Linked DNA regions of Diceros bicornis minor. The protein of the gene in region 1 purifies or fractionates together with the protein of each later gene. This does not show direct contact. Links are inferred from orthologs where the notes say so. Each region holds a gene or a part of one and is shown in the gene's direction. Other genes may lie near its edges.

Evidence for each region. The genes of interacting proteins can lie anywhere in the genome.
Region 2: the proteins of PSMB2 (region 1) and POMP purify together in Homo sapiens (affinity purification with mass spectrometry; 5 studies listed by BioGRID and IntAct, counting the BioPlex papers as one, with this or other methods). This does not show direct contact. The link is inferred for Diceros bicornis minor from reciprocal best matches to the Homo sapiens genes PSMB2 and POMP.
Region 3: the proteins of PSMB2 (region 1) and PSME4 purify together in Homo sapiens (affinity purification with mass spectrometry; 3 studies listed by BioGRID and IntAct, counting the BioPlex papers as one, with this or other methods). This does not show direct contact. The link is inferred for Diceros bicornis minor from reciprocal best matches to the Homo sapiens genes PSMB2 and PSME4.

What each region holds. Positions count from the first base shown.
Region 1 is NC_080752.1:49,937,729-49,945,568, reverse strand, and holds the start of PSMB2 (proteasome subunit beta type-2), read left to right. Parts: upstream 1-4,835; 5' UTR 4,836-4,922; coding exon 4,923-5,013; intron 5,014-7,840. UniProt on the Homo sapiens protein: Non-catalytic component of the 20S core proteasome complex involved in the proteolytic degradation of most intracellular proteins. This complex plays numerous essential roles within the cell by associating with different regulatory particles.
Region 2 is NC_080748.1:11,860,874-11,868,164, forward strand, and holds the start of POMP (proteasome maturation protein), read left to right. Parts: upstream 1-4,272; 5' UTR 4,273-4,344; coding exon 4,345-4,437; intron 4,438-7,268; coding exon 7,269-7,291. UniProt on the Homo sapiens protein: Molecular chaperone essential for the assembly of standard proteasomes and immunoproteasomes. Degraded after completion of proteasome maturation. Mediates the association of 20S preproteasome with the endoplasmic reticulum.
Region 3 is NC_080751.1:32,399,878-32,407,882, forward strand, and holds the start of PSME4 (proteasome activator complex subunit 4), read left to right. Parts: upstream 1-4,986; 5' UTR 4,987-4,988; coding exon 4,989-5,230; intron 5,231-7,988; exon of another isoform or gene 7,989-8,005. UniProt on the Homo sapiens protein: Associated component of the proteasome that specifically recognizes acetylated histones and promotes ATP- and ubiquitin-independent degradation of core histones during spermatogenesis and DNA damage response.

The sequences.
Region 1 (7,840 bases):
CATGTACAAGTCTTTTGAGTCTTTACATTTAAAGTGGGTATCTTGTATACAGCATATAGTTGGGTCTTGCTTTTTTATTTAATCTGACAATTTCTGGATTTCAATTGGAGTATCTGGATCATTTACATTTATGTGATAATTGGTATCATTGTATTTAAATCTACCATATGGCTATTTTTCTATTTGTCCTGTATAGTTTTTGGTGTTTTTTTTTTTTTTGGTGAGGAAGATTAGCCCTGAGCTAACATCTGTTGCCAATCCTCCTCTTTTTGCTAAGGAAGATTGGCCCTGGGCTAGCATCTGTGCCCATCTTCGTCTATCGTCTACTTTTGCATGTGGGACGCCTGCCACAGCATGGCTTGATAAGCAGTGCACATGTCCGCGCCTGGGAACCGAACCCCGGGCTGCTGAAGCAGAGCATGCAAACTTAACCACTAAGCCACTGGCCGGCCCCCTCCGTATGTTTTTTTCTTCCCTTTTTCTTCTTCTTTTTGTCTCCTTTTAGATTGAGTATTTTTTTTAAAGATTTTATTTATTTATTTGTTCCCCCCAAAGCCCCAGTAGATATTCGTACATCATAGTTGCACAGCCTTCTAGTTGCTGTAGGTGGGACGCGGCCTCAGCATGGCCGGAGATGCGGCGCGTCGGTGCGCGCCGGGGATCTGAACCCAGGCTGCCAGCAGCGGAGCCGCGCACTTAACCACTAAGCCACGGGGCCAGCCCTAGATTGAGTATTTTATTCCATTTTATGTCCTTTGTTGGCTTATTAACTATAACCGTGTGTTATTTTAGTGTTTGTTTGGGGTTTATTACTTAAATCTTTTACTTATCATTGTCTAATTTCGAGCAATATTATACTACCTTGCATATAATATAAGAACTTTTACAGCAGTATCTTCCAATTTCTCCCCTCGTGGCTTTGTGCTTTTGTTGCCCTACATTTTACTTCTAATATGCTATAAACCCCATGACACATTTTTATTATTTTTTCTTTAAACAGTCAATGATCTCTTAAAGACATTTGAATCATAAGAATCAAAGCCTTTTTTTTTGTCCACATAGTTACCATTTCCAGAGCTCTTCATTCCTTTGTGTAGATTGAAGATTTCATCTGGTACAATTTCCTTTCCACTTGAAGGAGATCCTTTAATATTTCTTGTAGTGTAGGTCTTCTAGTGATGAATTTTTTCAGCTTGTCTGTGACTGAAAATGTCTTTGATGTAGCCCATCCTAGTTCAACACAGGGGAAAGTCTAAGCAATTGCACTGTTATAAGCTCTGAGGCTGTGACTATTCCTTCTACCACCAGTGTTGGCGTCCTCATTGTCATCCAGCTGGTGAGTGATCCCACTCCAGAATCCCTTGGAGACTGCTTTCTGGGATCACTTTTGGTACCAAATATTTTACTTTTTTATTTATTTATTTTTTGCCTGTGAGGAAGATCAGCCCTGAGCTAACATCCGTGCCAATCTTCCGCTTTTTGCTGAGGAAGACTGGCCCTGGGCTAACATCTGTGCCCATCTTCCTCCACTTTATGTGGGATGCCACCCTAGCATGGCTTGACAAGCGGTGCATCTGTGCGCACCCGGGATCCGAACCTGGGCCACCAGCAGCAGAGCATGCACACTTAGCTGCTATGCCACGGGGCCGGCCCCTGGTACCAAATATTTTAGTTTGGTTTCCTAGAAGCAAACCAAAATGATTATTCAAGTCATTTATTGGGGGAGTACTCTCAGGAGAAAGGGAGTAACAGAAGTAAGATCCGGGCCGGCCTCCGTGGTGTAGCGGTTAAGTGTGCATGCTCCACTGCTGGTGGCCGGGGTTCGGATCCCGGGTGCGCACCGATGCACTGCTTGTCAGGCCATGCTGTGGCGGTGTCCCATATAAAGTGTGGAGGAATATAGGCACAGATGTTAGCCCAGGGCCAGTCTTCCTCAGCAAAAAGAGGAAGATTGGCATGGATGTTAGCTCAGGGCTGATCTTCCTCAGCAAAAAAAAAAAAGAAGATCAGGTAGGGGGAGAAAGCTAAGCAAGAATGTGGTCTTCGCTGGAGACTCGCTTTAGACTGATCCACGGGGAAACTTGGGAGGACAAGTTTTATCCCACTATAAATTAAGGAAATTGATCTTTTAGCCCTGTGTCAGTCAGTCATTGGCTGACTGTGCATAGCCTCCCAGGCAAGGATGCCTCCCAGATGGTTGAAAGAAATTGTCTGAATAAAGGGATAGTTGTCACTTGTTATCAACCAACATTTACAGCAGCTGGGGATAGCAGCTACCACAGTTAGGTAAAGGGGATATGGGCAGGGCATCAATAGTATCCAATGCATTAACATTTCTGAATATTTAGAGGTGGCCCACTGATATCCAGTCTACCATTATCTCGACCCTATTGTCTAAGCTCACAGGATTTTTTTGAGTGTGGGCTTGTGCTGATGCTTCCATGTCAAGCTTGGGCTTGGGAGTCTTGGAAAGGCTGGTAGCCTCCCATATTATGGCCATGTTTCCTAGGCACACTGCAGTCATTCTTCTTTAAGGTCCTACCAAACTCCCCATGAAGGAGCAGGGTATGGGTCCTTATACTCATGGAAACAACCAAACCTGCAACTCCTTTCCATCTCAAGAGAGATACAAAGCAAATTTCCCTTTTGAATGTCCCTTTTATAAATAAGGAAATTGAAGCTCAATGAATTTTGCACCAAGGTTGGAAAACGTAGGGCTGGGACCAGAGTTAAGTGTTGATTTACAGGCCTCCCACTACATCAGGGATCTGCAAACTATGGCCAAATGAGCCAAATCCACCTCCCCCCTCCCCTCCCCGGTCTTGTAAATAAAGTTTTATTGGAATATAGCCATGTTCACTCATTTAGTATTGGCTATGGCTGCTTTTGTACTGCAATGGCATTGTTGAGTAGTTGTGATGGATACCGTTTGGCCCGCAAAGCCAAAAATATTTACTATCTTGCCCTTTACAGAGCAAGTTGGCTATACCATGCTGTTTCTGGAACCTCCACAGACATTTTTTCTAATTCTAAGACTCAGTTATTCTAAGACTTTAGTTGGAGGAGGGAGTCCCTCTATTCTCAGTGAGATAGAACAGGTTAGGTCTTGAAAATCCACTTTCTTCTACACTAACAAGAAGTTAGAGCATCTCGAGTGTGACAGCTACAGGGGATTTCAAAAGAGTCCTGGGGAGGAAGAGGGAAGAGCCAGCTTGAAAGATCCTTGGGTCCTTTTGTGTGTGTCGGGGGGGGGGGTACGGTGGGGGGTGGTCCTTTTTGTGTGTGTGTGTGTGAGGAAGATTAGCCCTGAGCCAACATCTGATGCCAATCCTTCTCTTTTTTCTGGGGAAGATTGGCCCTGGGCTAACATGCATGCCCATCTTCCTCTACTTTATATGGGACGCCGCCACAGCATGGCTTGACAAGCGGTGCATCCATGGGGGCCCGGGATCTGAACCTGTGGACCCCGGGCCTCCAAAGGGGAGCGTGCGTACTTAACTGCTATGCCACCAGGCCAGCCCCTGGGACAGTCCTTTTTTTAAATTGGATTTCCCAATTCAGAATTCTGCAGCCTTTGTGAATGAATGAATGAATATTGGTATGTCCAAAGGAAAAAAGGTCTGGAAGAATACAGGCATCTGGTGGGTAGGTTACCTCTGGTGGGAGCAGGAGAGAGATTTAACTCTTCAGTTCTTCTGTATTATTTGTGTGTGTGTGTATAGTATAACTATGTATTTTTTGCACTTAAAAAACACACAAACACATACAATGCAAGAGAGGGAGAGAGAGGGAGAGTGGGAGGGAGAGAGAGAGACTTAAGGGACTTCTTCCCCAGTGGTGTTTAAGAAAAGGATCTTTCTAGGATGATGGATGCATCTGTGTTCATACTGGGATGGTTGACTTAATGACCTCACTTGCTCCTGGCATCCCTCCCAAGATAAATGAGCTGCCCCAAACTCCTCAGGCTCTATGTTCCTTTATGGACAGAGAGCTGGAAGAAACATTCAGAACAGAGTAAGGACTATGCATTTCTGCAAAAGCAAGTGAATTGAATAGTTGTGCTTGGAGATACAACTGCATCTGGTTTTCTGTTTCTGAGGAAGCTAGAATGGCTAGTATGAAGATTCAATCGTGGATGACAGAAACCAATCATGGAATATTTCAGTTTTTCCCAGAATGGATGCAGGATATAAAGGGATGGTTGTGCTTTTTCCTATTTAAAAAAATGTGTAATACATGAGCATTGCGAAACATTCAAACAATACAGATGCATATAAAATAAAAAGTGAGTCCTCCCTTCAAATCATTTTTACCAAAGGTAACAACTGCATATAATTTGAGGTCGGAACATCTGTAAATAGGTCTTTTATGATTTTAGTCTTTATGCTTAGATCTCTATTTTTGTGAAACATGTAAATAGGGCTCCTGTCTTTTTTTTTTTTTAAGTTTATTTTTAAAGTTTATTTTTCTCTTTCTAATCTGGCTTGCAGAGAAGGAGTTTATGGCGATATTTTACAGAGCAACGAAGGGAAACGGCCATCAAGGCATGCACGCCTTTTTGGCACCCGCGTGGGCTCGGCACTTCATATATAGTGCGTAATTTCATCCTCAAGCGAGTTTTAAGCTCTCAATTTATAAATAAAGAAACTGGGCGCTACATAACATCAGCCGCCTTTACACCCGGGATTGCAAAAAATCTAGGACAGGCCAACAGGCGAGCACAGAGTGTAATACACCCAACGCCACGCCCACTTTCCAACGTCTCGCGACGGTTTACGTCATCCGAGAGCGCCGGTGGCCCGGGCCGTCGCGCGGCCTGCATTGCGCGACGCCTCGCTCGGTGGTGCTGTCTCACTGGTGAGGCCGAGGAGCCGGCGAATCTCACGCTCTGTCGAAGCTGCAGCCGCCGGCTTCCTGCCACCATGGAGTACCTCATCGGCATCCAGGGCCCCGACTATGTCCTTGTCGCCTCCGACCGGGTGGCCGCTAGCAATATTGTCCAGATGAAGGACGGTGAGAGGAAGTAGGGGAGGCCCTGCCGGGCCTGGGTGTAGGGGCAGTCGGAGGGAGTTCGTGGGGTGTTGGGTGAGTACCAGGGAGGTGGAAGCCCGTCTGCCCTGATCAGCACTTGCTTGTTTTTTGGAACTAGGAGACAGGCAGACAAGCGTAGGGCTAGACATTCACTTCCCCCAGGGTTCCTGGGTCAGTGCTGTGCTCTGGCCTTCGCCAAATGCTTGCTGGGCGAGAGTTGCCTAAGGAATTCAGTTTTCAAGTGTTTAAGCGCCTGCCGGGCTCCAGGCTCCCTAGAGACTCGCAAATCGCTGATAAGTTTCCTGTGGTCGCTACTACTGAGATTAGTTTGCTGGCGGCATAAGGTGGGAGCCTGGGGAGAATGAGACTGTGGGACTAGAAACCTGGCATTTCCCTTGTGCTGCCTGTGTCTTCCCGAGTCTCAGCTCTGATTCTCCTTTTCCAGGGCACTGGTTGGCAAGTTTTCCTTATATTTAAGTAGTTAGTGGAGTTAGGGGACTGGAGCCCTGTCACTTACTTGCTTTGTGACTTTGTACAAGTTATTTCGCAGTTCCCAGATTTCCTCATCTGTTAAATCGGGTTAGTAATACCAGCCTCCCAAGCTTGTTGGGAGGTTTGAGAGAAAAAGTTTTGTGCAAATGCTTAGCACAGTGACAAATACTTAGTAGTAGAAATACCAACTACTTAAATAGAAGTACTTAGTAAGTACTAAGTAGTAGAAATACTAAGTACTAATACTAATAAATACTAAGTAGAAATACTAATACTAAATTCTAAGTGAATTTCTAAGTAATAGAAATACTAAGTACAGGTGCTATTTTAAGCGATTTACATTAATTCATTTAACCTTTTGAGATAGGCGCTATTACATTGCTACTTTACAGGTGATAGTTCTGAGGTGTAGAGGTTAAGGAACTTGCTTAAGGCGCCAAGTGGCAGAATCCAGGTTCTTTGAACCTATGCAATTTGACTACGTATCTTTTGCCCATAACGACTATACTGTACTGTCTCCCTATAGTCAGTTCTCAATAAATAATCTTTTTAAATTTCTTTTTGTGAGGAGGATTAGCCCTGAGCTAACATCCATTGCCAACCCTCCTCTTTTTGCTGAGGAAGACCGGCCCTGGGCTAACATCCGTGCCCATCTTCCTCTACTTTACATGGGATGCCGCCACAGCACGGCTCGACAAGCGGTGCGTTGGTCCGCGCCCAGGATCCAAACCTGCGAACCCCGAGCTGCCAAACCTGAGCACGTGAACTTAACTGCTCTGCCACTGGGCTGGCCCCAAATAATTTTAAAAAGATTTTGCTTGTTGATCTGCAGAATCTAAGATTGTGTTTTCATAATTGGTGGTAGACATGCTGCTGTTGAAAAAGTATTATGCTTTGGCTCAGATGATTTCGTGTTCACTTGACAAATAGGTTTTGGGCACTTCTGTGCTAGGTGCAGAAGGGATGCAAAGAAGAATAAGATGTGGCTCGTATCTTAAAAGAAGTTACAATTTAATAAGGGACTCGTGTACAAATACTTATAACACAAGCTGGAAAATGATGCTGCATGTGAAAAGTACAATGAAATTTATCAGATAATGCACAGGAAGCAGAGATTGTTTTTAGGCAATCCAGACGAAGAGATTCTTTCTAGTTGTAGAGATTAGGGGAAGTTTACAGGGCAGATAACAGTTCATTTTGGGTTTAAGGAAAAGAAAAATGATCAAATCTGGGATTTCCTGAAGTATGTGAACAAAGGCAAAAAAGTATCCACCACTGCCTGTGTAAGGGACAGGCGTCTGATGGTCAGGCTGTCATCACTTGGGAAGATGGGAAGAATTGAGGGACTTTGCTTGAGTTCTCTTCTTTCTGAAGAAGAAAGAGAGGGCCGGCCCTGTGGCTTAGCGGTTAAGTGCACGCGCTCCGCTGCTGGCGGCCCGGGTTCGGATCCGGGCGTGCACCGACGCACCCCTTCTCCGGCCATGCTGAGACTGCGTCCCACATACAGCAACTAGAAGGACGTGCAGCTATGACATACAACTATCTACTGGGGCTTTGGGGGAAAAAATAAATAAATAAATAAAATTATGAAGAAGAAAGAGAGACCTAAAAGTGGTTTGTTAAACATCTATGATGTGGATTGTTCTTCAAGTCAAATTACTTTATGAAATTCCATGATTAGTTTGTAGGAGTTCTATTTGTAAACCATGCTTTCCAAAGGAGTAAATTTGTTTTGAGAGTAAATCTGTCCATTATTTTGAATACTAAAGCCTTTGACATGGAAGTGATTTGAGCATGAAGTAGTATCTAGGTAGAGCAATAACCAAGTCAGTATCTCTACAGGTGTTCTGTGTCATCACAATAATGTATCTGAAATCACTTCGAAGAGTAGAATGTACTTCTAGCTGTTATAGAGGATGCAACGTATTAGATATAATCCATAGAAAGGTCTAAGACATTAAGAAAACAAATAAATACGACAAGATGGTTTTGTATGATAAAAGAAGTATCACTAGTAAGTACTAGGTTAGTTTTAGTTTTTATTTATTTTTATTTATTTATTTATTTTTGTGAGGAAGATCAGCCCTGAGCTAACATCCATGCCAATCCTCCTCTTTTTGCTGAGGAAGACTGGCCCTGAGCTAACATCCGTGCCCATCTTCCTCCACTTTATGTGGGACGCCACCACAGCATGGCCTGACAAGTGGTGCATCTGTGCGCGCCCAGGATCCGAACCCGGGCCCCCAGCAGTGGAGCACGCCGCTTAACCACTACGCCACGGGGCCGGCCCCCTAGGTTAGTTTTAAATTAATGATTT
Region 2 (7,291 bases), on another chromosome or scaffold:
CATGATCACTCAACCACCTCTTCTTTGAAGTGCATGCCATCTGCTTCACACTACCTTTTCTCTACTTTTGGAGGCATGAGAATTCAACTCAGCATGCTTTTACATCTCCCAATAACCAACCTCAGGTATTGCCTGGCAGTATTCATTCACCTGCTTCCCAGTCATGTTTCAGCACCAGCCAGTACTCTGGATGGGAGTTTCTTCTAAGTTCCCCAACATGCATTCAATAAATATTTGTGCCAGAGGGTGGGTATTCACAGGTACACAGATCACAGTCCCCACCCTCAGGGAGCGTGCAGTCCAGAGAAATAAGCAAGCTGTAAGACTAGAAGGCAGGTGCTACTGGAGCACAAAGGAGAGGAGTGTCATTGTACTCCTTTCTAATCACTTCCTCTGCCTTTCTGACCCCCTTGTACCATATGGTCACCTAGAATCTCTGCCCTACTTACTCTTCATGAGGTCTACTTTGTGAATCCCCTTCTCTACCCTGTGTTGCTGAGAACTGTTGCAGAAAATAGTGCAAGCGTGTTGATCGAGCCTATTACAAATTGATGTTACTCACACTCACTCATGTCCTTATGATTCTGAGCAGTTTTTTAATTCATCTTACTGATTTGCTAGTGCATTCTACATGTCGATTTTTCAACTTTCTGCTCTTCTAAAGTCACCACCAGCTCCACTCACCCCATCACTACTAACAGTGGTGATCAGATTTCAGTTCCCACATTTCTCCTCCACACTTTGGGACTTCTCTTTCTTCACCACGTTTTCCATCTTTTCTCCTGTTTCAGAAACGTACTCCTTCCATGGCTAGCCACTCTCTCTCTCTGCCCTTGATCTCCCCTCACACCTGCTCTGGACATCTAAGAGGTCATTACTTCAATCATGCCTTACCAATTCTTCTCTCTCCCTGGTATCTTCACCCTTGCACCTTCACTGACTCTTTCTAATATCTGCCTAACAAACTTTAGTCCCTCCAACCATACATATGAAACAAAAACAAAACCCAATTTCCATTCAAACCAAATTCCTGTTTCCCTTTTTTGAGACTGCAAACATTCTGAAAAGATTAATACAAAATTCGGATGCCTCCATTTTCTAACTACTGATTCTTCCATTGCTAGCAATTTGGTTTCTGCTCCCACCATTTTACTTAAATTGCTCACCAGATCATATAAATGACACCCATTTGCCAAACTCCATTGATTTTCTTATAATCACAATACTTGACATCATTGGTCGTTCCTTTATCTTGGCAGATCTTCTTTGGCTCCTGAGACATTCCTTAAGTGAGACACTTTCCTACCTTTCTTCTCCATGCCTCTTCTAGCTTCTCCCAAGTTCTAAAAAGAGACATTCACTACATATTAGATGTAAAGACCTTTCTTAAGGCCTGCACGTTTCTTAGTGCTTGTTTAAAGTATGCAAGGCACTGTGCTGCACACATAAACCAGACTTTAAGAGGGGTCCAACCCAGCAGGCTGGTGGTTGGGTTTGGGTGCCCAGAGCTTGAACTCAAAGAGCAAAAGAGCCAAAGAGTAAGTGTAATTCTAGGTCTTTAGGGAGCACCACAGTTTAAGTCAGGAGAACTAAATTTAGTTGACAAGATGAAGTACAGGAATGGGATGCAAACAGGAGACAGCCAAAGGTAACAAATGAGGAAAGAGCTAGAACACAAGAGGAGGATTCTTGCCAGATGTTGTCAATGATGCTGAAGTTGTCTTCATTGGTCTACATAAGTCATCAGACTGGCTTAAGAGTAAACTCAAGGAAGACAATGAAAAGTAAAGTAAAATAAGGTATTTGTTCTCATATAATGCATACAATAAGCATGTTTCTTATGTCAAATGTGGATAACAGTAGTACCTACTTCATACAGTAACTGAAGATTAACTAAAACTTTATATAAAGAACTGAGAACAGGGCCTGACACATAGCAGATGTTAGCTATTCTTCTTAATATTCTATCTTCCAAACAATATAACACAGATAAAACTTAAGCAAACATATTAAACCATTCTAGTATCAAATCTAATTTAATTCTTTAAACTATTTTAGCATACTCAACACTGCTTTGTACTAGTTAATACTGTCACAAAACCTCTTTAAAAGGATATAAATATTCATGTGTGTACTGCTCAAAATAAGGCAATTTTTCTCCTTGGTGGTGCATTGGTCACCAAAGGCCCATTTTCAGGACTTCATTATCTTTTTTTAGCTACTTTAAAACTACTTTCTAACCTCTCCTTTAAGCTATTTCTCAACCTCTCAACACTTTCTTGCCCTTTAGATTCTAAGATAGCACTTCAGTTTGGTTTTTCTCTGCCTCTCTGACCATTTCTTTTTTGCCTCCGTGGAAGGCTCCCCTTCCCCTGGCCGCCTCTTGAATTCGAGTATTTTTCAGGTTCATGCCTACTATTTACTGCTTCTCAAAGTCCTTCCAATATGCTGCAGTACCTTAATTTATACCTTTATCATCTCTGCCTTGGACTACTGCAACACTCGAAATGGTATCCTGGTTCCAGTTTCTCCCAATTCCAGTGTATCCCTCATGCTGCCGCCAGAATGATTTTTTTTTTTAATGTCAACTGTCTGTGAAAAGACCTCCATTATCTCCTGTTTCCTACAAGAAAAAGTCCCAAACTTTAGCACACGATACAACGGCCCTTCATTCTGGCCCCAACCCACCCCTCCAATCTCATCTCATCTTGTTCCACCTACTCAGCCAGAACTCCAACCACATGGAAATGTTCTTCCTTGTTCAGATTACAACATGCCCTTTTGCAAATCCCTGCCTTTCCACGTTTCCTCTTCTTGAAATGCCATTTTTCCCTGTTCCCAACCACTTCCTGACCCAGCTCCTTTCTCGATTAAGCATCTACAACACTGGACTTTAAATATCTGTTTATATGTCTATTCCTCCAGGAAAATAAAAGCATCTCAAGTATAGGAAAACAGCTTTTTCTTCTCTTTAGCTCCAGAATCTAGTACCAAGCAAATGCTCAACAAATATTTAATGACTGAATTGTGAGCAATCAACACACATTAAAACAATTTTTTAAAAAAAGAGTAGCAGTTCTAAAATTTTTCCTTAGCTGGAATTCAGTGAAAGGAAAAAGATGCAAATGAAATACTCAAGCTCAAATCTCAAGGTAAATATGGATCTTCTGAAGAGCCAGAAGACATATCAAGACAGCAGTGCACAATACTTGACTGAAGCAGGGCAGAACTTCAAGGTTGTAACAGCAAGGCAGTGGATATGCATAACATATATGATCTTATCACCTCCCTACTTAAAATCCTTCAATGGTTTTTTAAAGATAAAGCCTCATCTTTAGTGTGGTGCACAAGGGCCTCTATAATAAACTTGCCTCCATCTACTTACAGCCTCATCTCACATTACCCTGAACTTAGGCCACACAGGCCTTCTTTCTCACCTGAGATTTTGCACAAGCAAAACTACCAGTAATGTTCTTTCATATACTCACCTACCTCAAACTAGTTCACTCTCATCCCTTGGCTATCAGCCCAAGGATTCCTTAAGTTATCTCCATTATATAGTGACAGAGCATAAGGTCATTTTATCACATTATATTTGGAAAGCAATACTGTAGCGCTATGATTAGGGGTCCTTGGGCCTTATCTATTTAACCTCTTTTATATTTTGGTTTCCTTGTCTGTAAAATTGGGGTAATAGTATCTACTTCATAAGATAACTGAAAGGATTAAAAAAGATAATTCGTGTAAAGCATTTAGAATTGTTTTGCTGTCTAGTAAGAGCCCACTACATATCAGTAATTATCATATTTACTTAGTTGTCCCACACCCACTTCCCCGGCTCCTCTAGCCCAGGAACCACCCCAGCCCGATTCCTTTCTGAATTCTTAGCCTCATCACAGGGTCCTAAACATAGCAGTCCTTCCACGAATGATTTAAAAAATAAACTGGCAAAAGCCTTGTGTTCCTCGTTTGCCTTACTAGCTGAATGACCGCAGGCAAATCACTCATCTCACCTAAGCCTCGTTTCCCGTTATGAAAAATGCAGTATCTACCTCAAGGAGGTTTTGTATTATATAAGGCGATGCATCTCCAGAGCACGTTGCACATCTTCCACTGTTGTACGAACGGGAGATGTTTATTATTAAGAGAGCGGAGGTGCGCGTCTTCCCTCTCCTCCGGCACATCTCGTCCCCACCCCGCCCTCCTCCCAGCCCACACCCTTACTGCGCCCTTGGCCCCCGGTCCCTCGGGACTTCAGGCGTGGGAGCCCCGGCCCCGCGCTGCTCCCTCACGTCGACCCGCGCCCTACTTCCTTCCTCGCCCGGACGGACGCACTTCCGGCGGATGTGGGGGGGCAGCCCCGGAAACGGAAGTGAGCGGCGGGGCCGGCTGACGGTAACCGGGCTGAGAGGCTGCGCGCAGAGCGTGTTGAAGATGGTGAGTGAGACCCCGGGCGACCCGAGTTCCCGGCGGGCTCGGGACTGTGGCCCTGCAGGAACAGGCCGCCGCCTCCCAGCCCGTCCCCGGCGGCGGCGGCGGCAGCGGCAGGGCGATGAGGCTGGCCTCGCGCGCCATGTTCTGCCGAGTCACGGGGTTGGGGAGTTCGTGGCTGTCGCCCGGGCCGGGCTCCGGCGCAGGGCCCGCGAACGGCGCTTCGTTTTCATGGTCTTCTACCACCCCCTTTTCTCTCGGTTTGCGCCCTGCGGTCCCCAAGTTCCCCGGTAGGTCCCGGTCCCTTCCCCGGCGTTGGCGCGGATCTGCAAAGGACAAAACCGAAAGTGTCGCGTTCTGTGTGGTGCGCCGCCGGCTGCCCTTCCCTGCGGGGAGAACCTCGGGGAGTTCCGAGCTCTCAAAACGCTCACCCACCCCTGGCCCTCGGAACCGCCCTGACAACCAGCCCCCAACCAGGAGTCTCATTTTTATAACTCGACAAGCATTTTCGGGAGCTTGTAGTATGCCAGATGTTGGAGGAGGAAAAAAAAATCAGACAGTTGCTACTCCCCGTTTGTCAGTATTGTTAGTGCATCTCCTCCTCTGTCCTCCCTCTCTCTCTTTCTTTCTTTATAACTTAAAAGTGGTATTTGGGAAGGATTCCTGAGTCGCGTTGGCCCTGACTCTGGTACCAGTACTGCTGCTAGCCCATCCAAATCTAGAAAGCTTCTATTGGTAAATACTGCTGATCATTGTAAAGAGATTTTGTAAACACTCCCAAGTGTGACTACTGATAATTAACTTTTCATAGATTGGTTTTCCTCAGCTACTTGATTAGAAACATAAATACTAATTCTGATATTTTACAGAAGGAAATTGGGAAAATGATAACGGTAGAACACAGAGATCAGAATTCCCATTTTCTTTGTGTGTAGAAGAAACTTTTCTTTTGTCATTTTACAATAAAGCAACCTGGGAGGAGGAGAATGTTCACACAGGAAAGTAACAGGGCATATGTTTGGAAAGGTACAGTCGTACAGCTCTAGTCCTGGAAAAAGTTCAGGTACCTGGTACAGATGAGTAAACAGGGTCAGAGAGGTTGTCTGCCTTGATTACAGTCACATAGTAGGTTAGTGACAGTCCACACTAGATTCCAGATCTTTTCCTGATTGACTGTGACTTCTGTGTAGGAGAATTGAAACCTCTTCTGCAGGTTCTTGAGTTCCAGGCTAAGGATCTTGGACTTTGTTCTTCAGACAAGACATGGATGAATCAGACAAGACATGGATGAATCAGTGAAAGGTGTTTTAACAGCTTTGGTAGGAGAGGTTGTGTGTTTTAGGAAAACCTTGATATGCAGAACTGGAAAATGGAAGAGTGTAGAGGCAGCAAGACCCAGTAGAGTGCGCTTGAGGTTATCCAGGTTGGAGCCTGGACTGCAATGGTAGATTGAAGAAACCCTGCACAGGATATCAAGTACCTGACCAGATAAAGTATACAGATGAATTAAGAAATTAGTAAAAAAGTTGGTTTCTCAGAATAGTTTCTCCTAGAATAGTGTAAGACTGAATACCAAACTACCTTTAGCAGTTTTCAGTTTTTCTGCAGAATTGCAGGGATACTTTACATGAGCAGTGAGTGATTTAAAGGCAGTATCTTGTGTTTTACCTGTTGTAACATTTATTACATTTTATTTGTTTGTTTAATCTGTCTTCATTAGACTAAGCCCTGGAACCCAGGGTAAACATGTATCTTTAGCATCTAGCAGAGTACCTGCTACATAATAGATGCTTAATAAATATTTGGTGAGTGTTTTATAGTATTACATAGGGTGATGATACATCACTACCAAATGCACTGTGAGTCTTTGTTTTTGTTTTTCATTATTCTGATTAGATACATTTATTTTTCATAGGTAGTACTGTTCTGTAATAGAAACCAAATACTTTCTGAAACTCCTTTTTTTATTAGCTTCTGTGACCACTCTTCTAGCAATTCTGTCCCTTTTTTTTTCTTTTTTTGTGAGGAAGATCGGCCTTGAGCTAACATCTGCCAATCCTCCTCTTTTTGCTGAGGAAGACTGGCCCTGGGCTAACATCCGTGCCCATCTTCCTCCACTTTATATGGGACGCCGCCACAGCATGGCTTGCCAAGCAGTGTGTTGGTGCACGCCCGGGATCCGAACCGGCAAACCCTGGGCCGCCACAGTGGAGCGTGCACACTTAACCGCTTGCACCACCGGGCTGGCCCCAATTCTGTCCGTTCTTGATCCCATTTCCTTGTCCTTAAGGAATGGTATTCCTCAGGATTCTGTCCTCGACTTCTTGCGTTCTGTGCTAATCATTCCAACCTAAGGGAGGGATCTCTCCAATGAAAGTAAATCTGATCATGCCCTAACCTTTCAGAGACTCTCTATCAGTTTCAGAATAAAACTCAAATTTCTTTGCGTGTTTAAGGCTTTTCATTTTGCCAGCCTTTACTTCTGCCTCGCTTATACAACTTTTTAGCTAGTCACCTCACACTACTTGTGGTTTGTACATTCATATTTTTATAGCTTTACCCATGTTCTTTTTTTCCTGGAATGTCTTTCAATCTGACATCATTCAAAGATCAACTCAGGAATCCTTCTTATCCTCAAATTCAGTATTATTCACTGTACCATGTATGTCTCTCTACCATAATGCTTAAGGCTCATCTTAATTGTCTAGATTGTGGGCTCTTTGAGGGCGGAGACCTTATCTTTTCTCTCTAGTGCCTAAGCAGTGTTTTTAACCTAGGTGTTCAGTGTGGAATTTTAAAAATTTTTTGTATTTAATAGTTTTTTATTTGTGTTTTAGAATGCCAGAGGACTCGGATCTCA
Region 3 (8,005 bases), on another chromosome or scaffold:
GTATAAAAATCAAAGAAAAATTCATTCCTTTAGCTGTGATTTCCTTCTTATTAAAAATTGAACTTCAAATACACTCCAGTTCAAATGAAGTGAATGGATCTTATGGCTGGATGAGAAGAGAAGGGTTTCTGGATGAAAAATTCAAAACTTAAAAATCGCATAGGAGGAGGGCCGGCCCGTGGCTTGGCGGTTAAGTGCGCACGCTCTGCTGCTGGCAGCCCGGCTTCGGATCCCGGGCGCGCACCGACGCACCGCTTCTCTGGCCATGCTGAGGCCGCGTCCCACACACAGCAACCAGAAGGATGTGCAACTATGACATACAGCTATCTACTGGGGCTTTGGGGAAAAAATAAATAAATAAAATTACTAAAAAAAAAAAAAATCATACAGGAACTAGAAAAAAATCCTCATTTCTCAGACCCAATAATCTTGTGCCTTTAATAACTGTAACAGAGGGTGTCTGGATATTTGATTATATTAGAATGAGTATTCTAACTAATTTAAAAACTTTTAAAGATTATGCTCTGGCAACAGAGATTCATCCACTTACAAATAATATCCCCAGCTCCAAACATATCATATATAGAAAGAAACTAAGGCAGGGGAAGGCATGAAACTAATAACTGTCATTTTTGTTCACTGTTAATAAGTGGATTATCAAGTAGTGGGCCAATAAGTATATTAAAGACATAAATATTTGATTGATAATTATCCCTGCCAATTCCTCCAGCTTAAGGAGAATCCTCTTTCTTAGCCCTTCCACGAAGGGCTATTGCATTTTCTGGGTCTTCCAAGAAGGGCAATTACAGTCTGCTTCCTAGAGGGGTCTGATAAACCAATGTCTCCCTCAGGGTATGACTGAAAGGATAATGGGCTGTTATCTTTTGGCAGCTCTAAGAGATAAAAAATGCTTGGGAGTTGGTCTGAGGAGAAAACTGACCTCAGACTTTGGGTTACTGTCTTCAATGATGAGTAGACTACGGCACTCAGAGAAACTTAAGGTCTCCCAACTTTCTCACCTGAAGGGGTTTCAATAGTGTTTTCTATTAAACTTCATATAGAATAACAGAAACAAACTTCATGTCTTTTGCTTAATAATTCTTTTGACATTTCCGGTCCAGACATCCACTCCCAGGAGAGTTGACATCACCTGGAACTGCTTCTTTGAAATCTGAATCCAAACATTCCTGTTCTTCCAGGTCCCTTGCTCAGGCTAATCCTTTCATATTGTCCTTGTACTTAACAGGATCTGAGTCTCTTAACCCTTCTACTCTGCTTATCAGCCCTCTTTTCTCTTCACTTAGACTTCAACTAACTTAGTTGTTAACTACTTTCTTTCAAATACTCTCAAGTCAATTATCTCTATTTAGAGAAGAGAATTCAATGAGATAATGTAGGTAAAGCAGCGGCAGAGAGAAGTGCTCAGCAAATGGTAGCCAACACCGCTTCTATCACTACCAATAACATACATAACATTCTCTTGTTCCTTTGTCATTCTATCATACCAGCCTGTATGTCATACAATCCTCGGCTGCTAATTATTGAAGAAAATCACTAAATTGCCCACGGACGACAGTAAATTCATGCTTCCAGCCTTAACTGCCAAGCAATTTCTACTGTTTCTCTCATCAGTCTTCTGAAATTTGAGACTACTCTAAAACTTCTCCAATCTCCTTAAATCTCCTACCCATCTCTTCCTCCCTTCATTCTCATTCTCTTGCTTCACAGAAAAAAAAGAAACCGTCAGAAAGAACTTCTCCAACTTCCAGCCACTAAATCCTCCAACCTTTCTTCAATTGCACCTATCCTCCCCTGCTTCCCTCCTCTGACAATGGAAGCACAGTCTGGTTTACTGCTAAGGGCCAATGACTCCACATTCCCTCCCACTCACTGTCATCCTCACCCACATTATCTTTAATCTCTCTCTTCATTGGCTCCTTCTCATCAATATTTAAACATATTTAAATATATCCCACCTTCAAAAGTTCTTTTTATGCCAGCTACCTCATCTCTCTTGTGTTCCTCCCACTCAAACTTTTAAAAAAGGTTGTCCACATTAGCTGCCTCTATTTATTTACTTCCCATTCATCCTTTGTCATTGTAATCTGGTTTCCATTACCACACTCCACTGAAACTGTTCTTATCTGCTTTATCAATAACTCCAATAACTCCTTCTCAAGTTTCCTTTCATTTGACCTGTCAGCCACCTTTGGTACATTGATCACTTTCTCCATGTGAAACACTGTTTTTAGGAATGCTCCCTTTCCTAGAACTCCTCCTACCTTTCTGACTGCTTCTTGTGAGTATCCTTTGGGGTCTCGCTCCTCTTTCTCTGTCCATCCTTAAATATACAGTTCCTCAGAGTGTGGTCAAGGACCCTGTTCTTTTCATACTGTGAAATTAATTAAACAAGAAGGCCATTAGACTGAGATGGCTCTAATGCCTTGGCAGTCTACGTAAACAAACCAAAATCTAAGCCTATGAATGCCTCAAGATTACAAAATCTAAATGCTAAGAACAACAAATCACAAATACCAACTGGCTTTAAGCTATAGCCAATCAAATACAGTCATGTGCATGACACGACCTTAGAGTCAACGAGAGACTGCATATTTGACAGTGGTCCCATAAGACTATGCTGACCGACAAAAAATCACTACTGTTTAAACAGCAGATATTTATTTGAGCAATTAGAATTGCAATTAGGGAGGCACAGATTCAGGTAGAAACCCAAAACGTGTTCTGATTACAGGAGAGGGTCTTAAGGTTTTTATGGGAAAAAGGGAGGATGAGGTGAGCTGTTTTAAAGAAGAGTTCATTGGTGCTAGACGAGGTAAGGCTAAGTTTGTACTTCATTGATTCGCTTAAGATTTGGTCATCAGGCAAAAGGCTAAAACTTGTACTTCACTGATTGGTTAGCAATTCGGTCACCAGCAAAGTCCAGTTTTATCAGTCCTTACAAACAGTATATTCTTGTCCTTACTGATTTCTTGGATTGTCGGTGGTTTGGTCCAGTTTGGAAGATAAAGAAAATAAGACGTGCAAGGAAATTCCTCTGAAACAGCTACTCTGGATCTATTTTAATATGGCTCCACTCATGTCATCCTCCACAATTAGTACCATATAGCCTAGTGTGTAGTAGGCTATACCATTAGGTTTGTATACATACATTCTGCGATGTTCACACAATGATGAAATGACCTAACGACGCATTTCTCAGAATGTATCCCCGTCATTAAGCAACACGAGTATAATTTCCTTTCCTGGCTGCCACATCTCCTCTAGCATATGCCCTTCCCCTGGCTCCTGTTGGCACTCTTAACTGCATCTGGTTTGGCCCTGCCCAATTCCAATCGACTTCTGCTCAAACACTCTTAAAATTTTTAATATGCCTCAGTTTATCTTCTAGCAATACTCTATATATCTCATTCCCTCCAATCCACCAATACGCTAATCTATATCCCAGTTTAGATCACCCCCTTGATCCATACATCAAAATACTTACGCATCCATTACGCATTCTGTCTCCAAAGCTGTTTCTGCCATGTTCTCTCAGTGAAGGGCTTCACTACCTAACGGGCTTTCCAAACCAGAAATCTGACATCATCCCGTTTCTTCTCTCTCTCTCTCACTCTTTATATACAATCAACTTCCAAGCCTAGGCCATTGTACTTGCTGAAGTAGCTCTCAAATCATTTCAGCTGACATCCAGGCCATCATTATGTCATATTTCTTAAGGGGTCCTTTAGGTACCAATCTTGTCTGTTCTAATCCACTCTCCATACAAAGCCAGAGTGATTTTTCAAAAATGTAAATTGCATGGTGCCACTCCTATGCTCAACATCTTTCAATTTCTTGTTGCCTTTAGCATAAAGCTTTAAAAACTCCCTAGCATTTCCTTCTCAGTCTCAATTTTCCACTCCCCTTTTGCAAGCAATCTTCAGCCATTCTGAACTTCTCTGAATTCCTAGACGGCACGCTTGCAGCCTCTGAGCTGTTCCCTCAGCTGAAATACACCGTCTCTTCCCTTCTTTTTCTAACCAACCCTTAAGCTCAACTATCTGTATCACTTTCAGGAAACTTCCTGACCCCCCTCCAGTTTGAACTCCGCTTTAGGTGTTCCCAAGGCATCATGTACTTAACTAGCAATTAAGAGTATTGTCTTGTAATTACTTATTCCCTAGTCTACAGCTCCGCTTGACTTTAAGTCCCTGGAGGACAGAAACCAGGTGCTCTTAAACTTTCCATCTCAAGTACCTAAAAGTAGCGGCTGACACACAAAATAGTAGTTCAATTAATATTTGTTGAACGAATAACTATTCCTTTTTGGAAAGAGGGCGGTCAGGAGAATACCAGAAAGACGAGGGCTCAAAGCGGACAGAGTAAAAAAATCTATACGTAACGAATGGCATGGATACAGAGTACCTAGGTTATCCCACAAACTCGGCCTGCGGGGTCTAGGCCCACTGCCTCGCCCCAGGCCACGGCGACTACGGGCCCTGGAGAGCAGGCGCAGGGGTCACACGACCCCAGGTAAGGAAGGACAATCGCTTGGAATTCGGCCTCGTGCTTCCGGTGGGGCAGCATCGCGCCTGGCCGGTGAGGCCCGCGGGTTGGGGCTCCGAGCCTGCCCCACGGCGAGGAAGGCGCGGCCCCCGGAGCTCCCGTCGTCGCCGCCGCCTCCTCCGACGCCGTCGCCCCGCCCCGGAAGTGACTTGAGGCCCGTCCGGAACCTCGGGCCCGGCGGCTGCAGCGTCACCAGCGGAGCCGGTGCGGGGCGGGCGGAGCGGCCGCTGCCGCAGCCAACGAACCAGGCACCGCGCGGGGCCAGCAGCGCGCCGGCCAGGGGAGGGGATCCGGCGGTCGGGCCGAGGACGACGGGCCGCCGGCGGCCGCGGGGCGACGACGACGCGGAGGAGGCGGAGCCCGGAGAGGGGTGGGGGCCGGGGAGGGCTAGGGTGGGAGGGTGGGGGGGTGTCCCTGGGCTCATGGAGCCGGCCGAGCGGGCAGGCGGCCGGGATCCCCCGGAGCCGGGCGGGCGTCCCGGGCCGGAGCCGCGGGGCTTCGTCCCGCAGAAGGAGATCGTCTACAACAAGCTGCTGCCCTACGCCGAGCGGCTGGACGCCGAGTCCGACTTGCAGCTGGCCCAGATCAAATGCAACCTGGGCCGGGCCGTGCAGCTCCAAGAGCTGTGGCCCGGGGGCCTCTTCTGGACCAGGAAACTCTCCACGTAAGTGTGCCCGGGCCTCAGGATGGGCCCGGGGCAGAGGCTCACAGGAGGACGTCGGGGGTGGGGGACGGCTCTTTGTCCCACTGGACCGCAGGACCCTTACCTCTGCCCCGGCTCGAGCCGGTGGTCCCCGTGCAGTCGTCTCAGGGTCACGGCAGAAGCCTTGGAAGCACTTAGACCTCCTCCCTGCCACTTTCCTACGGAACCTCCCCGGTCCTCACCAGCCCTCAGTGTCCTCCCCTGCTTTTTCTCCCCAAGGATTCAGGTTGTTTTCCGACCTGCGGGGCCCCCAGGGAAAGAGATGAGCGGTCCCCCAAGGGGGCTCCTTGGACCTTTGCCCGTGGGGGAGGGGAGGCACAGAGGATTCGTCTTTGAGGGGAGCAACTCTTGACTTCTGGTGCTTCCTCCGGTTCTTTCCTCCCCTACGGTCCCCGCCTCTTCCTATCCCTCAATTGGCCTCTGGTAACTTTCTGAATGGGAAAGAGGCCGTCGGGAACTTCTAGGTTCTGCTTTTTTGGGGCCTGCTCAGTCTTTGTGGATTTGATTGAAAAGATTGATTTAAGATCCGACTTCAGCGCATTCTTGGACTGTTCACTAGACGTTAATGTTGAGAATGTTGAGTTTTAGAACCTCGGCAAAATGTATATTGCTCCTGTTGTGACATTTCGTTTGGAAACGTACAGCGTTAAGGAAAAGAGGAGAGCTGTCAGGTTGTCCTGGGTGTTATTTGTATCGGGCTTGTGTTAATTTTTGAGTCGCTCAGATAAATATAGATTACGTAAATCAGTTTCAAGGATTCTATTCTTTTTTTATTACTTTTTTTTTGTATAAACTAGCTGCAAACTGTAGTGCCACTGAAATTAGGGGGAAAGGGCGAGTAAAAATACAGCTGGGTGGGAGGGAAGATTTTAGAGACTTTTTGCTAGGTGGGAATCTTCATTGTGTCAGAAGAACTTTTTTAAAAAAAGATTTTGTTGTATCTTGTATGGTTAACTGTACATAAAATCTGGTAACATTGTATGTTCATGCATGTGGGTATGGGTGGGTGAACACGTAAGACATAAGTCACTTATCCAGTGTTTACCCAAATCTGCTGAGTGAACTGGGTGATGACTCAGGGTTTTGTAACGCAATAGTCTTCTCCACATTTCCTCACAGGATGATTCTTATCTGCCGTTTATGAAGGAGTCTCTGACAGGTTTCTCATCTCCATTTGGTGGTGGTGGTGGGAATAATAATTGCTTTTTAATTAATAAAGCAGAACTCAAACACGTAATTTGCCCTTTTCAAAGAGTGACCATAAAATGTCAAGGTTAATGGCCCTCTTGATTTGAATGTATAGAAGTTTGTGGTGTTGGGATCCATAGGAGACTTGGGAAGAAAAGAAATGCAACAGGGATAAGAACCACTTTTAGTCAAAACAGAAAAATGTTTTATAAATGATTAAAATTCAAATGATTTTTTAAGTGAGCCTCCTAGGTGTGTTTGTGTTACTCGGGCACAGTAAAAATAAAGTTACTTTGTCATTCCAGTAATTCCCCATTTTTATCACCTGGATTCGACTTGCTAGAGAATAACCATTTGCGGGGGGACATAAGCAGTTCCTTTTAGATGCACAGTGTATAAATGTACCAGTGTGTGAATGCATATCTAGATTGGATTTAGGAATCTAGAGTCTACACAGGTATAGGTAAGCATTGTTTTCTGACATATTTATTGTTACTTACTAAGTTTCGCGGAGTAGCACCTAGAGTTTTATTATTTTTGGTTTATTATGTATAAGTAGTTTTTACCTAGAAAGGGCTAAAAATACAGTGGCGACGGTCTGTGGTGTTTAGGGCAAGACTGCAGTTATGTGGCTTAATAATCTAGGAATCCCAAACCATTTATATCTAAATAACCAGCAAGAAATGCTGTGAGATAGAATTTTATTTTGGAACAGTGGTTAAATGCTGCAGACTGATTCTTGGGATTGCGCTATGAGACATTTTGAACTTGGTGGGACATGTTGTGATCTTGGATGTATTTTTTCTCCTAAGTCATGTTAAGGTGACCTGTTTATAGATGTGCTTGTTTTTTAAGCCTTGTGTGTGGTTGCACAAGTTTACATCTAAATGATGCCAAAACATGTGATGATAGCTTTCAGTTACCTGAGTAGTGATCATATTGAGTACTTTGTAGAAGAATGGAAAGTAGTAATGAAAATCTAATTGCTGCCACTAGCTCTGTGACTGTGGGAAAGTTACTTTAATCGTGTATTTCAGAATTCTTGTGGGTGAAACGATGGGGTTGGATTAAGTAATTCTTGAGAAACATTCCTGCTCTGATATTTTATGATTTTATTTTTTATCTTGTAGAGCCTCAAGCCAGTGTGTGTCTTTCTACAAGGATTGTTTGAGGACTTTGTAAAGTATTGGAAATTGTTGCATAAATCAAATACATTCCTAAAGAAGACCAGAGTGTAGATGCTATTTAGAGGCACTGGGACTGGATCCCCTAATCTGGGTGTCATGGGTCTGTGTATCGTCAAGTTCTAGTTTGGGAGGTACTCAGACGCCCCTTTTTTGAGTTTTACGTAATTTTAGTAGTTATTGTAATTCTGTTTCAATCCATTTCAAGACTTGCAGGTGTGTTTAGCATTTCTGTGAAGAAAGGTTAGTTCTTTGAATTTTAAAAATTGGCCTTGTGGTGTAATACAAGCTCTTTTGTACAGACAGTTTAAAGTATTAGGACTGCCTGTTCAAGAGAGATTGTGTGATGTAATACATCACAGGG